Pelodiscus sinensis: one gene and its partner. The protein of the gene in region 2 purifies or fractionates together with the protein of the main gene of each other region. This does not show direct contact. Links are inferred from orthologs where the notes say so. Each region holds a gene or a part of one and is shown on either strand. Other genes may lie near its edges.

What was found. Proteins that work in one complex are often made in the same cells at the same time.
Region 1: the proteins of JADE1 (region 2) and ING4 purify together in Homo sapiens (affinity purification with mass spectrometry; 4 studies listed by BioGRID and IntAct, with this or other methods). This does not show direct contact. The link is inferred for Pelodiscus sinensis from reciprocal best matches to the Homo sapiens genes JADE1 and ING4.

What each region holds. Positions count from the first base shown.
Region 1 is NC_134711.1:138,605,985-138,613,528, forward strand, and holds the start of ING4 (inhibitor of growth protein 4), read left to right. Parts: upstream 1-4,521; 5' UTR 4,522-4,536; coding exon 4,537-4,581; intron 4,582-7,544.
Region 2 is NC_134715.1:50,834,005-50,841,646, reverse strand, and holds the start of JADE1 (protein Jade-1), read left to right. Parts: upstream 1-4,559; 5' UTR 4,560-4,759; coding exon 4,760-4,820; intron 4,821-7,642.

The DNA.
Region 1 (7,544 bases), on a different chromosome or scaffold from region 2:
CCCCCCCCCCCGTAGTGTCTAGATACATTCCACATCTTGGCCCACTGCCTCCATTGTTACTGGAACCCATTGAAGAAAAGGAGACTGGAGAAGAACCTCTAGATACTCCCTCTGCCCCAATATCTCTTCTTCCTTAAATGAGGTTATCACTTCAGAGTCAGCATTGTGTCCTTCTGATGACTTTTAAAGTTTTTCAAGAACTCCATTAGGAGACTAGCCTCATCCTTGATGATAAAAAGAGAACTTGTGCAAGACAGTTTGTGCAGACTGTTGATTTGGATTGCCCTTGCCATTAATAAAGCCTCACTGGAACCTCTGAAGACCTTTTAGCAGACAACTTGCTGTAGCCCACCCATTGCCAAACAGACAGGCTTTGTGTTCCTCAACAAGACTTCAGGTATTTCTTTAACTGTCCCATTACAGACTCAATGATCACAGCAGCAGATGAATGTTTGAGGCAACTTCAACCCAATAGGAGACTGGATCTTTGTGGGAAGAAGGCATATATGATTGTGAGCCTTCAAATGAGTGTGTCAAATTATTTGTCACTGTCTAAATATACTTTATTAACTTATCAGCAATTTCAAAAATTTTGGTCAAACTGCCCGAGCAATTCTTGACCGTAGTTTTGTAATGTCATCTCATGACTTGTACATCTCTCCATCTAAGCTATGTCTACACAACAAAGTTTTTGCGCAAAACCAGCTATTTTTGCACAGAAACCAGCAGAGTATCCACACCTGAAGTGCATTTTTTGCACAAGAAAATCAACGGAACAGAGGGCTTTTGCTTCCACGAGGAATAACTCCTTTTTGCGCTACATCTCTTTTGCAAAAAGGCAGGTGTGGACCCCTATGGGAAAAAGCACACGTGCTCTGATGGCCATTCTGTGAATGGTCATCAGAACTTTCTTGCGCAAGAGTGTCTATGCAGTGTGGATGCTCTCCCGAGCAAAAGCACATCACTTTTGTGATGCGCTTTGATGTCTGGACATGTTTTTGCACAAGAAGTTTTTGCTGAAGACCTCTTCCACAAAAGGCTTTTTGCGTGAAAACCCTGCAGTGTAGTCAAAGCCCTAGCGATTTATGCATCAGACAGAGTAAGACATAGGGGCATAGGTGGTCTGGCTTAATGGTTACAGCTGGGTGGGTGTCCTCAAGTCAAGGACAGCCACAAGATGGCGGTCAGCAAGCAGGGACTGCAGTAATTACTAGAGCTGGAATTAATAGGCAGGAGTCCGGTTAAGAGTCAGCTTGGGTCAGAGATCAGAAATGGTGGTCATGACACTGGAATTGGGAGTCGGGGTCAGAGTTGTAGGAGTTAGAGACTGGAGATCGGAAAACAAGGTGAAGCCTTGAGTTGCACCTGGTCAGAAATCTGTGTGACTTCCTGACAACTTCCTAGGACACTCTCCATGGTTAAATAGTGAGCATGAGCCAGTCAGAAGTCTGCAGGATGCTCTTACTCTGGACCTTTTATGGGATATGTCTCATGGTGCCTAATCTCTACAGGGCTGATTGTATATGGCTCTGCATGGTCTCCCTGTATTTGTGTGAGAACACCAGCTGTAATAGACTTCACAGACCTTGGTTCTAGCCCAGGAGTGGGAAAAATCTGTCTCATGGGCTGGCTTCAGCCAGGCACCATCTTGTAGCTTGGCAGGCCCCTCAGGTAGGCTCCCTGCCCCCATATGCCGCTCAGGGTGGCTGGCTGCAGGAGCCATATGCTCTCTGTGTAACATGAGCCAGGGAAGGGGGGAGGGGCCCTCGCACATTGCCTGCACCACAAGTATGGCCCAGGCAGCTCCCATTAGCCAGTTTTTGACCAATGGGAGCTGCAAGATTGTGCTCGGGACAGGAGCAGTGCGCAGGTCCTTTGCTCCCCCTCGGTGCTTACAGCATTCAGAGAGCACATGACCCCCACAGCCAACCACTTCGAGCAGCATGCAGGGGTACAGAAGGCAAGGAGCCTGAGAGTCCCACTGGGATGCTTGCCAGGAGCTGCCTAGGTAAGTGCCTCCTGGCCAGAGCCTGTATCTGACTCCTTAGACCCTCTGCTCCCCCTCCTTCACTCCATTCCCCAGTCCAGATCACAACCCCCTTCTAGACCCTGCAACCTCTCCTGCACGTCTCAATGTCAGAATCTTCTACCCCCTATCCCGAGTTCCTTTCTGCACCCAAGTACTGCCTCCATTAGTGTCATGGAAAAATGTGGCCCTTGACCACTTACCAAATTCTTGAAGTGCCCCCCCCAATCAAAAATTATTGCCCGCCTCTGTTCTAGTCCCATTGATCTTCATAGTTGGCTATAGCCATTTCTATGAAACATTCTTCTTGGTATCAGGCCTCCAGTATTCAAAAAGAGCTTCAAAATACAGGGGAAGTTTTACCATTTGAGGATACTAAACTGTTCTCCCAGAACACCAACTCTTGCGGAGCTCTTTGTTTGCTTGGTGTGTACATCCTAGTGCAGAGTGTCCCCACTATATGTCCAAGATACTTTTAAAAAAAGTGGATGTATAGTGAAAGGACATAGAGCAGGGAATTTTTTCCCCATGCTTGACTTCTGTTTGCGTGATTGGGTTTGGGTTTTTTGTGCAACGGAAGAGCGGGGAATGGGAGCACTGAAAATGAAACCGTTCCCACAAGCATCAACAAAGCTAATGCGGAACCAACATATACCAGGGTGACTTATAGCAGAGATGCCCTATAACAAAAAGTAAGCAGTGTAAGTCCCAAAAGCAGTATAAACCCTATTATCAGCAGAAGCCTCTAGATGGAGTTCTAAGTTTTCTATGCATCATCCACCAGCATTATCTCTAACAGGCTTTCTCTACACAAGATGTCAGTGATTTTTGAAACCAACTTAAAAGCTGAGATCTTTATTGGCCCACATCTGGGCAGAACTTATAGTATTAGTGTCAGTAAAAACACGGATTCCGTTTTCCTTAAAGCAAAGCTTTGTATTCTTTCAAAGATGTTTTTCATTTGAAAGAATCACAGGCAGGCAACAAAAGGCTATGCAAAAGGCTAATAAGTCCTAGGTCCCCAAGCAGAAGCCCTCACTAGCTCCTGGGCTAGTATCCTAAATGGCAAACAAAGCAGCTGTGGGCTTCTGTTTCTTCTGAAACACTTCATCTGTCAGGTATTTCCTAGGACAGAGTGGTAGCTACCCTGAAGCCCTCTAGCTCAAACTTACCTGATACAAGGGTGTTGGTTGATCTGGGGCTTCTTGTTTTATCATGTCACCAGTCTCTTTTTAAATGTTAAATTGTATGGAGAATGAGCATAGGATATTTTCCCATACTTGTATCCTTTTTCAAAGGAGTCACATGTTCCTGAAATATGCCACACTGGCATTTCATAACTTGTTTCTCTGATGTGTTTGGAAGGGACAGTAGGGATAGATTGACATTTACTTTCTCATCAATCATTCACCTGAGCTCTAGCTGTTGTGCTGTCTTAGAATGTCATTTGACCCTGAACTGTCTCCTCTAAGGTCACCATTTACATGTTTTTATGAGATATGTTTGGTGAACATGACAGTCCATGATGTCCATAGTTCTCTGAGAAGTACAAATACACACACGGCCCTTGATTAAACATCCAGAGTACATAGTTGTACTAGCGTTCAAGTGTACTATCAGTACTCTCAGTAAATTTCCATATATCCTGTCTGAGGCAGAGAATCCTGCTCCCAGAATCCTCAAGTAAATTGAGATTTGCCAGCCTTGAGTCAACCACAGCAATTCATAATACCCAGCACCATCCCAACAGTCCCTTCTCAATATCCAGTTACTAACAGTGATTTTGATATTACAACAACAACACCAATTATACCTATTATTTTTGGGCCATGTGTCTCCTTTTTAAGTTAAAATGACATTTTGCAGTCTTCAGTTGTATAATTTGGCAATTAAATTTTTAAAGGGTCCCTGTAACGTTTGCTTTTTCTTATACTGTTTACATATTTGATGCACAGGAAAAACAACACTGTTATTCCAGGAGTCAAAAATACAATTATCCATTGATTCCCACACCACTCATTACATGACACAAAGTGTCATACTGGGTACTTATTTGAGAATCTATATCTTTTACAGCTTTTTCAATCATCTTGTATTTTCAAGCAAGTGCACTTTTTATACTTATTAGAAGATTTGTTGTCTGTTCTGATTTAGTGTTCGCACGTATGTTGTATTTCCATGTCTTAATCTTTATCATTTCCTCTATTTCCTCTAAATTTGGTAGCATCTATCTGGGTTGAGGTATATGCTTTTATTACCTGGGGTGTCATTGGTAAATTTATATTGGAAGTTAATTATTTTCCCCCTGCATACACCACATTCCTCATTCCAGGTACCAATGCTGCCTTTGCAAGATCTTGAAGATCAAATGGGAAGACAGGCACACTAATCTCAGTGTTTTGGAAGAGGTAAAGACCACCACTACTGAGGCAATAATCATCCGTCAGCAACTTTCAAAACAGGTCCTGTTTTCTCAGCTGAAAGAAGGATACTGTAATGTGCAGGGCTTAATGAACCGCGGTGAAAGCCGCTTGCCAGCCCCGCACTGCGCATGTGTAAGAGCCGCATTTTGCATGCACGCGTTGCCGGTAAATGGGGCACTGGGCTGAAATCTACTCTCCAAGGGGCTTTCTCCTTTGATTAAACTCTACTGTTTTCAGCACTGCAGTAAACCTGTTCATGGAACTGAGTTTACAGATCAACATACAAAAATCAATCTTTTCCTCTGTATGGCCAACCTCAGCTTGATAAAGGCCAGAGCATCCCATGCTGCAACACAGGTTCCACACCTTGGCCATGCTTATAGAGACAGCCCTCAAATATCAGCCAAATGCTGCTTCCGTCTAGGGCACATGGCAACAGGCACAGATGTGATACCTCATTCCAGACTTCAACTGCAGTGCCCCCAGATGTGATTCAGCTCAGTCTAAAGACTGACTAGACATAGATTAGACTGCCACTACCCACTAAGGGTGTGTCTAGACTACATGCCTCCTTCGACGGAGGCATGTAGATTAGCCAGATCGGAAGAGGGAAATGGTTTCACGAGGCTTACCTGTGTCGATGAAGAAAGGCTTCTTTGTCGGGGCATCGCGTCCAGACTCCCCCGATCTGCCGACAAACAGCTGATCGGCAGATCGGGGCAGCCATTTAAATTTAAATGAAGCCGCGATTATTTTAATCGCGGCTTCATTTCCCTCTTCCGATCTGGCTAATCTACATGCCTCCGTCGAAGGAGGCATGTAGTCTAGACACACCCTAAGATAAAAAACTCTAGACTGGTGGAAAAATCCAATGAACATTTGCAAGATGATTCCCTTTCCTCAGACTTCTCTGATGTTACCACCAAAATCATGCCTCGTAGTTTGGCTGTGCACTCCATCCAAACTAAAAACACTGAGCAAATGGTTAGCCCCAAAAATGTTCTTCCATATGGACCTCCTTGAATTCAGGGCAGTCAGAAATACCTATATCCATCATCCCACTGACCAAGGAACACACACAATAACCTTAACAGACAACATAGGACAGGACAAGGAGTAATGGGCTTAAAGTGCAGCAGGGGAGGTTTAGATTGGACATTAGGAAAAAATTCCTAACTGTAAGGGTGGTCAAATATTGGAATAAACTGCCAAGGGAGGTGGTGGAATCTCCCTCTCTGGAGATATTTAAGAACAGGTTAGATAGACATCTGTCAGGGATGGTGTAGATGGAGCTTGGTCCTGCCTTGAGAGCGGGGGGCTGGACTCGATGACCTCTTGAGGTCCCTTCCAGTCCTATTATTCTATGATTCTATGATAGCATGCATAAATTGGCAGGGAGGAACCAGGTGCTCTCTCTACTCAGAAGTACTAAAGTTATAAAACTGGTGCAGTTCCCACATCTACCTTCTGGGAGTACAAAACTCAATGGACAGTTGCAATTGCAAATTCCCCCATGATCATGAATAGAAGTTAAACCCAGCAGTGCTTCATGACCTATTTAGGCAGTGGGGGGCACCAAGTGCAGGAATGTTTGCCACTTACCTGAACAAGAAATGCCAACACTACTGCTGCGGAGCAGAAATAGGGGAATGCTTGGGAAATGCTCTTTTTTCCCCATGAGACAGGGACCTTTTCTATGCCTTACCCCAGTTTCCCCTGCTCTCAGGAGTCCTATTAAAAGTAATTATACATCATACTGATTGCTTCCACCTGTATAAAACAGATTTGATATCCTCACCTAGCATGCTCAATCTCTCTTCAGCCCACTCCATCTGTTGCAGAACAAAGGATGCACTCTACATCCCAAGCTGAGGATACTTTTCCATCAAGCTCTTTTATTCTGGATCATAGAAAGCTCCTGCTGAAGGGAGACGCAAGAAGTATTCCTACACAGTAGAAGATCCACTACATGTCATTCTTGTATACTCAGGTTTGGTGTATTTCACAACAAATTTCCCCAACATACACTGCTCTGCCAGTGGACCTAGACTATGTACTAATTCTCAGAAATTCAGGGTTCACTCAGAGCTCACCTAGCAGCAGTAGCAACTTTCATCAACAAGTTGTGGGATTCTCAATGCTCTCATGCCAACCACAAAACAGTTGTATAGTATAGGAAATCTTTTTATATAGGAGTATAGTAAATCTTTTCTCCCAATCCTGCCATCCCACTCCTACATGGGAACTAAGTCTAGTGTTGAAAGGCCTGACTAGACTTCCCTTTGAGCCTGTGACTATTTGTTTGCTCCCAAATCTGTCAATGAGAGTGGCCATCCTGGAAGGAGAATAGGGGAAATAGCAGCTCTGATGGCACATTCCCTCATACAATATTCTTTCCAGACACGGTCACACTCGGATCACATCTGCAGTTCACCCCCAAGGTGACCTGTTGTTTTCACAGAAATCAACTGAACCTTCACACAAACCTTCTTACCTTCTACTCTAGCCTCACTGTGATAACAGGGAGTCTGAACTACTACACACTAGATGTTATGAGAGCCTGAACCCTTTTACTTGGATAGACCAGAGGCATTTAGAAAGTCTCCCAAGCGTTTTATTTCTATGGCAGAGAGATCCAAGGTCTCAGTAGTATCAACTTAGGGACTCTCCAAATGGCTCTAAAACGGTATTAAAATATGCTGTCAGGTTTGCAACATAACACCTCTATCCAATATTCACACTCACTCCATGAGGTTGGTCTGCTTCTCAGTTGCTGCTGAACTGGCAACATAGTTGTGTTTCCATATATATGCAGAATATTATACAATTACTGGAGAATCGGCTTCTGATGCCATCTTTGGTTCCACAGTATTTTCACCCGTAACTGACTCAAGTAGAAGCCCCTGCCCACCATTGAGGATACAGCTCAAGCGTCACCTGCACTGAAACACCCCATAGAGAGGCTACTTGAAGAAGAAGAGTTGCTCACCTTACGTAGTAATGATGTTTTTTTGAGATGTGTCCTCTTGTGGGTTCTCCACAACCCACCCTCCTCCTCTCTACTTTGGAGTTCTTTCAAGGACACTGTGGTAGCG
Region 2 (7,642 bases):
AAGTGCTACATTGTCCTGCATTTTGCTTCAACTACCCCAGACTAACACGGCTACATTTCTATCACTATTCCAATCAGTATAGACGTTCTATTTTGAAACAGCACTATTTTGATGGGCATCTGTAGTGTGGACATGCTATTTCAAAATAAACTTTTTCAGAGGATTTTTCCTTGCTGAAATAGCTTATTTTGAAATAAGCATGCAGTGTAGACGTAGCCTATGACTCCAGTTCTGCAGGTGGCTGAGTGAGTAGATGTTTATGGTGTGTTTGGATAAATTATTTTGTTGATGAATAGCAGAGCAATTCCTCTGTTGAATTAAGGTATGACTTTCTGGCACACCAGGTAAAAGTATTTATTGCCCTGGGGAACTGCATTAATTTGTAATTATGTATTTCCTGTCTTTGGAATTACAGGCAGTCCCCGGGTTACGTACAAGATAGGGACTGTAGGTTTGTTCTTAAGTTGAATTTGTATGTAAGTCGGAACTCGTACATATTGTAGGGGAAACTCTAGCCAAACATTTCTCCAGAGCTCAGTTTTATTCTCCCACACCTCACTTCCCTCAGTCCTTTATTCTCAAGCTGAGGTATCTGCTGAGAAAAGCCACTCCGCGACTCCCTGGTCTGGTGGTGGTGGTGGTGGGGGGGGGTGCTAGCTTCGCGTCTCCCTGGTCTGCTGGGGGGAAGCAGCTAGTGTGGGGTTGCCTCACCCCGTTTGTAAGTAGGGATCCGATGTAAGTCGGATCCATGTAACCCGGGGGCTGCCTGTATTTTACACACAGCTTTTTTTTCTGTATTTGAAATTACAATACCTGTTCTCTATATCGTTATTCTTTCCTGTTTATACATAGAACTCTGTTCTGTGTAAGAGTCTCCACTGTTTTCTCATGGAAAATGAATTAATGGATTGACGAAAAAGCATTTTAAACTAAAAATTAGTCTGCATTTAAATGCCCCTTTTCATAATGAAATCTTTGGTAAATACTTTTATTTATAATACACTTATTCTGAACTTGTATTTAAAAAGAACTAAATTTGATTTAAAAAGAACTTCAGAACATTTTGGCCCTGTTTCCCCCAATCTCCTTTGGAAAAGTTTGGGAAGCAGAAGAGTTAGATGGGAGACTGAATATCAGAAATCCATTCTAAATCTTGGGCTTGACCATTATTCATGTATGAATGTGGGCAAGTTATTTAACTGCTCTGAGACTCGGATTCCCGTCTTTAAAAAATAGAGCTCTGGCCATACCTACCTTAGAGGGATGGCATAAGGCATTAATAAATTAATATTTCTGAAATATTTTGAGACAGTAACAATACCTAGTGCAAACATGCACAAATAATTCCCTAGAAACAAATCTTCTAATAGTGTGCATGCACACTAGCTGAAGATACATATGCACACTATTTGAAAAACAAGGAACTTGAATATTCGTGGTTGGCAGTAAGAGTGGAATACAGGGCTGCTCTCAAGCAGTGAGTGACAATATTGAATGAGTAAGACTTCAAGCGAGGGGGTGAGTTAGACTGGAAATGTCTCAAAGCAAAATATTCTTCCTCACAAGAAAGAGATACTTCAGTAAAATCCATTCAGAAATGAAGGCACCTCCCTGCATTTGTAAACGGAGCACGACTTCTCCAGTGAGGGCTGTGAAGAGTTAAATCAGACAGTTCCTAAGTGTTGTAGTCTATCCTCTTCTCTTCCCCACCCTGTTTTTTTCCTTTCTGTTCGCTCTCTCTCCTTCTAGTTTTGGCAGGGGATTAAAGTAGCTCCCCCCTGTGGCAGCAGTGACCCAGAAATGAGTTTGATTCACAGAGTCCTTCCTCCATAACAAGTAAAAACGTCAGTCAGTCTGTATGTGTGTGTGTGTGTGTGTGTGTGTGTGTGTGTGTGTGTGTGAAGGGAGCCACAATCTGCTCCCACTCTCCAGTGCTTGTCTGAACTCATGAGGCAGCACAGACCCCTTCGCGCAGAGAAACTCCAACCTCACTGGCAACCATCGCGGCAGCAGGAGCAGGTAACTGTGTCCAGATTCTGACTCTCCTCCACGCCGCCGCCGCAGAGTGAGCCGGGGGAACAGCCAGCACAGCCATATTTGATGGGTTTTTGTTGCTTTGCTTTGGAGTTCTCCAGAAGCAGCTAGAGAGCAATTTAATGCCGAAGGTCGCTGCCTAGTGGAAATAATATAGTACGTCATTAATATGGCGCCAAAAGATTTGCTTCTTGATATGGAGCGAGGGGAGGCAGTTGAGTTGCAGCTTCACTATCCCACAAGCAACTTGTGCATTGCTGGGGAGGGAGGGAGCGGTGGGAGGAGGAAATAGATGATTATTTTGCAGCTTTGAGAAACGATGTGATGTAAGGAGTGTTCTGCTAGCTGGTTTTCATTTTGCTGCAGACTTTGCAATGGCAAATAAGGCTCTTGCAGCTTTCAAGGTGCACCAGCTAAATCAACACAATACTGCACTGAGGGTTTTTAAAATTTGTATATGTATTTGACTTTGCTGTAGTTTTTTAAAAAAGAGAGTGGGGACGCGGGTATCTGAATTAATCAATGCTGGGTCAGCCTAGTTTAAAAGTAAAAAGCGTTGGATCAAGTTGGTAGACAGATGGCAATTGCAAAGCGCAGGTCCTTTTAGATATAGACGCTATAGAAAGGGGGAGGGGTGGTCGTAGTCAGAATCTGTCACCGTGTCGCCCACATGTCCAAAATATCCGTTGCATCAATTCAAGGGCAGTAAGGGTGTGTGTTATGTGCAGGCAGCTTTGCAATTACATTCATGCAAATTGTGTTTGGATTTCACTTGCTGTAGTTAAAAAAAAAATGCTCGCAAAGTATAAAAACCGTTCACCGGAGAAAATAGGCAGAAGTTTCCTATTGGGGTAGGAGAGTGTTGGCCGGTTAGTCCTGAACTAGACGCGATTGTGATTTTAGGCACTAATGGACATGTGTGGAGGGGGAGGCTTTTAGTACACTGCTATAGTAGAGCCGTTTATTTTCAACTGAGTCCGAGTGTACAGTAGCTCCTGCTGGAGAGCAAGTTGTAACAGCCCTGAAGTGCACGTGTTGGGAGAGTGTGAGTGTACGGAGGGAAGGGGTGTGTTGTGTGTGTCTGAGGGAGGAGGGGGCGGTTGTTTGGCTGCTCGGGCTCTGCTGGGTGGCAGCAGCTTCTGTGCCGCTGGCGAGAGCGATGAATGCGGGCCAGGGCCGGAATGTGGAATGTTGACCCCAGATTCGAATCCCTTCGGAACGGTCTCACTGGCTGCGGAGATTGTCCCCCCCCCCCCCCCCGCGGGAGGGAGGCGGGGTTTGCTTCATCGGGCGCCTCCGGGCTGGGTGTGGGAGGGGGGACGGGAAGGGGCAGAAGGAAGCAGGTGCACGGAGGCAACAAGAACCGGCCGGGAGGCTTAGGAACCTCCCCATCCAAAGCGATGCTCCCCAGCCCCCTCCCGCTGGGGGCCGGCGAGTTGAGATCCGTGCGGGGTTCCACGGCCCAAGCAAACACGTGCGGGTGCTCGAGAGGAACTTCTGCGAGCCATGTTTTGTTCCTTAAGAGACCGAGGGCTAAATTCTGCCCACAACTACCCCGTGCAATCGCACCGAGACAGCAGTGCCCACTTGCGCTGTGAGGAGCTGGCAATTGAGTAACGTAGGTCCTATTATGGGCACTGTCGGATTAAATCATTGGGGTGGCACATTAATTTCCCAAGTACTACGGTGATGGATAATCAATACAATGAGTGGCAATAGGGTTTACGGATGAAGTTCTTAAATCTCCTAAATGATGCTGACATGCACTTATGATGATATACGAATGAAACCAGGGGGTGGTGCAAAATGTCTGAGGGATTGCACAGGTGTAAGGGAGACTTTGGCTCTTAATATCCCCCCCTCTTCCTTTACCAAGGTCTTTACAAGGAAAATGGGACTAGGTTATGGTCTTTTCAAATAACCGCATCATTTCGCTCTAACGGGCTATCCTTGGCGTCCCCAGAGGAGAAGGCAAGAGTGCAGCGCAGGCGATTATTCCAGTTGCTGAAATTAGACAAAGCCGCCCTGCTGCACTCGTATCCCTGGACTCTGCTCGTTACATGCTCAGATTTTGCAGATTGTCAGGCTTCGGGTCTTGATTTTTTTCTTGCCAGTGTTCATTAGCGCCAGCATTCATTAGCAGTTTATGGCGCGGATTTTATTATTTTGACGAGGGTGGTGGTAGGAGATGTGTGTTTGTTTGCACCGCCTGCTGGATGGTTTCCTATGACAAGAGGTGATACACAGTTTCCAGAACTGTCTGGGAGTGGGAGGAGAGACCGACAGAAAGCAACCTCAAGTCTTAGTGCTGCTGCTATTCAATCCTAGTCTAAACCGTCCCCCATCTCACCCTCCCCAGACATTGCAACATGGAGAGCGGGGGGTGGAGATGGGGAGGGTTGCTTGGCCGTAGAAATGATATGGATTTGGGAGCTGAGCTGAGGGCATCAAGTTTGATTTGCAGCTGAGGCTGAGCGGATTGGTGCATCTGGTGGGAGGGGAGGAGCACAGGAGGAGGGTAGGCGGGGGAGATCTGGTCAGTTTCAAATGGAGACAGACGGGGAGGTGTACGTAAAATGGGATTTTTGCCTGCTGTGCAAAAGGTGCCATAATCGCAAAAAGGGGTTAGTCCGGCGACAGCAGCGCAGCTGGGGGCAGGAGTTAAGTGTGATACTTGTTCCTTCCCGGCTTCTCCACCTCTCTCCTCAGTCTTTGTTCGTGTCTGATGCCTCCGGACCTCTCAGTACGAGCAGCTTCAGCGGCGGCGCTGCGAGCCCTCGGCACCGGTATTGCTAAGGCTGGCGATAAATGAGCCCTGTGTTGTGTGGATCGGAAAAACTGGGCGGGTTTAAGAGACATGACTACCTCTTAGCACTGCTGTCTCAGCATGCTGGGGAGCTAGGAGTGGGAACATATATTTGAACCAGGAGGATCTGAAAAATAGAGAGTCCGAGATTTAAAGAATACAAGTAACAAAAATGCTTATTTACCTGAAAAACAGACTTTAAGCATGGCCTTAAAATAAGCCTCCCAAATGAGGAAGCCTTTCAGTAAGGAAAGCAGTTCTAGCTTTCCAGTTCATTATTGCAGCAGTGACTACTTGTTTTGATCAATATGCAAATTAACAATAGTAGGTGATTTTTTTTTTAGAATTATTTAGTTTTCAAGAGCACTTTGAGAATTAAGGTGTTGGTATGGGATAGGTGGTTTGGAACAAATTGATAAATTAAACAAGCAATAAGTTATGGGAGGAGATGGTATTCACCCAACAGTCCTGAAGGAACTGGGTATGAAATTGCAGAACTATTATTTGTAAGATGTAACCTGTTAAATCAGTCTCTACCAGATGATTGGAGGCTAGCCAATATATTGTTGATTAAAACAATTTTTTTGTGATGATCCTGGTAATTAGAGAGCAGGAAGGCTAACTTATGTACCAGGCAAATCAGTTGAAATCAGAGTAAAGTTGATCAGACACACAGGTGAACTGGGTATATTGATTAGGAATCAACAGGGCTTTCCTAAATTATAAGGAATGATTTGTCATCTATTAGAACTTTCCCCAATTATTAGCTATGTACAAGCATGTGGACAAAGGCCATACAGTTATATAGAGTACCTGGGTTTTTACAAATACTAACAAACTAAGTAGTCCATAGGATGAGAGGGAAGGACATCTCATGGATCAGAACGTGGTTAAAAATAGGAAACAAAGGGGTAGGAATATTAATTGTTAGCGCAGTAGAGAGAGAGATAAATAGTGGGGCCTTCCAAAGATATGTATTTGAACCTGTTCTGTCATCATATTCGTTAATGTATTGGAAAAAAGGAGATGAGAAGTGAGGTGACAAAATTTGCAGATGATGCAAACATTTCAAAGCTGACTGCAAAGAGTTACCAAAGGATTTTACTAACCTGAGTGATAAGATGGCAGATTTATATGCAACTTTGTGTATTTTGAAAGCTTGTATCTCTCATCATCAGAAGTTGGTTCAATAAAAGATATTACCTCACCCACCTTATCTCTGTGAAATTGCAGCTGAAATTCACTGTTAGTAAATGGAAAGTAAAGCACATTGGAAAAAATCATCTCAGTGAGATACACAAAATGATGGCATTTAAATTAGCTGTTACTACTGAAAGAAAGAGATCTTGAAGTCATTGTAAATAGCTTTATGAAAACATTCAGTCAGTGTGCAGTAGCAGCCAGTAACGGGGGAAAAATGTTACAGAAAATATTGTAATGACACCAACTGAATCTGTGGTACACTAATATCTTGAATATGGTGTGGAGTTCTGGTTGCCCCTTCTAAAAGATATTTGTTAGAAATGGTGAAGGTATAGAGAAGGACAACAAAAATGATTGAGATATTGAAATAGCTTCCATAGAAAGAGATCTTGATATGGACTGGGGACTGTTCATCTTAGAAAAGAGATGACTGAGGGGTGACATGAATGGTGTGGAGAAAGCAAGAAACGAGTGTTGCTCACTCTTTCCATGCAACACAAAAACCAGGGGTCACCAGATGAAACAAGGCCACAAGTTTAAAACAAACACAAGGAAATAATTCTTCACACAATGCACTGTCAACCTGTGGAACTTGTTTCCAGGCTATGTTATAAAGGCCAAAGCTGTAACAGGGTTAAAAAAGGAATTACATATGTTCATGGAGGACAGGCCCATCAGTGCTTATTAGCCTAAATGGCCAGGGATTCAGTCCCATGCTCTACATATTCCTGAATCTCCAACTGCCAGAAGCTGGACATGGATGACAGGCTAGATAAGTTGATAATTGTCAGGTTTTGTTCATTCTCTCTGAAGCACCTGGTATTGGCCATTGTCAATAGACAGTACGCTGGGCCAGATGGACCTTTGGTCTGAACTAGTGTTGCCTTTTTATGGGAATAAATATACCTATGATTAATTCTTCATCTGCAGGCCCTTTCTTAGTAATAATTCTTCTAATAAAAATGATTGTAATGCCAGCAAACGGAATCTATGCTAGATTTTCAGACTTGTCACTCATCAAATAATAATGGGCCATGCCTTGACATAAATGATTAGTTTATGTAGCCACGTGAAAGTTTTAAGCATAGATATCTGCCCTTTTGGGGAGTTGTTACATTAGAAGCTATGGTAATTGTACAGCAAACTACCAACAGTTGTTTTCTGTTCATTTTTAATTTTAACTTTTATTTTAAATAAAAGCTAAAACAGCCTATTTGGCACATCCATTTCCAAATAAAGAGATTTTACTGTGTTTTAGATTAACTCTTTTGCAAGTAGTTCTTCTTTTGTAAATAAGCATGCTTGCAAACATAAGACCTTAATAAACATTACACTAAAATATGTTTGGTACGATTCTGTTTCTAGAGCTTTTCATACTCAGTGGAATATTCTCTCCAAATTGCAAGAGTGTGCATTTTAGTGACAGGATTCTCCCTGAAGAAGCAGATTCTCCACCACTGCTGATTTGAAGCTATGTTTCATATATATGTCTCCAATAAAATAATAGCTGTAAATTTCCCTTCTAGCTTTTCTGCTTTCATTTCTAGATCACATTTAAAAAAAGCATCCTCTGCCCAGTGCTTTTTCCATATAGTCAGT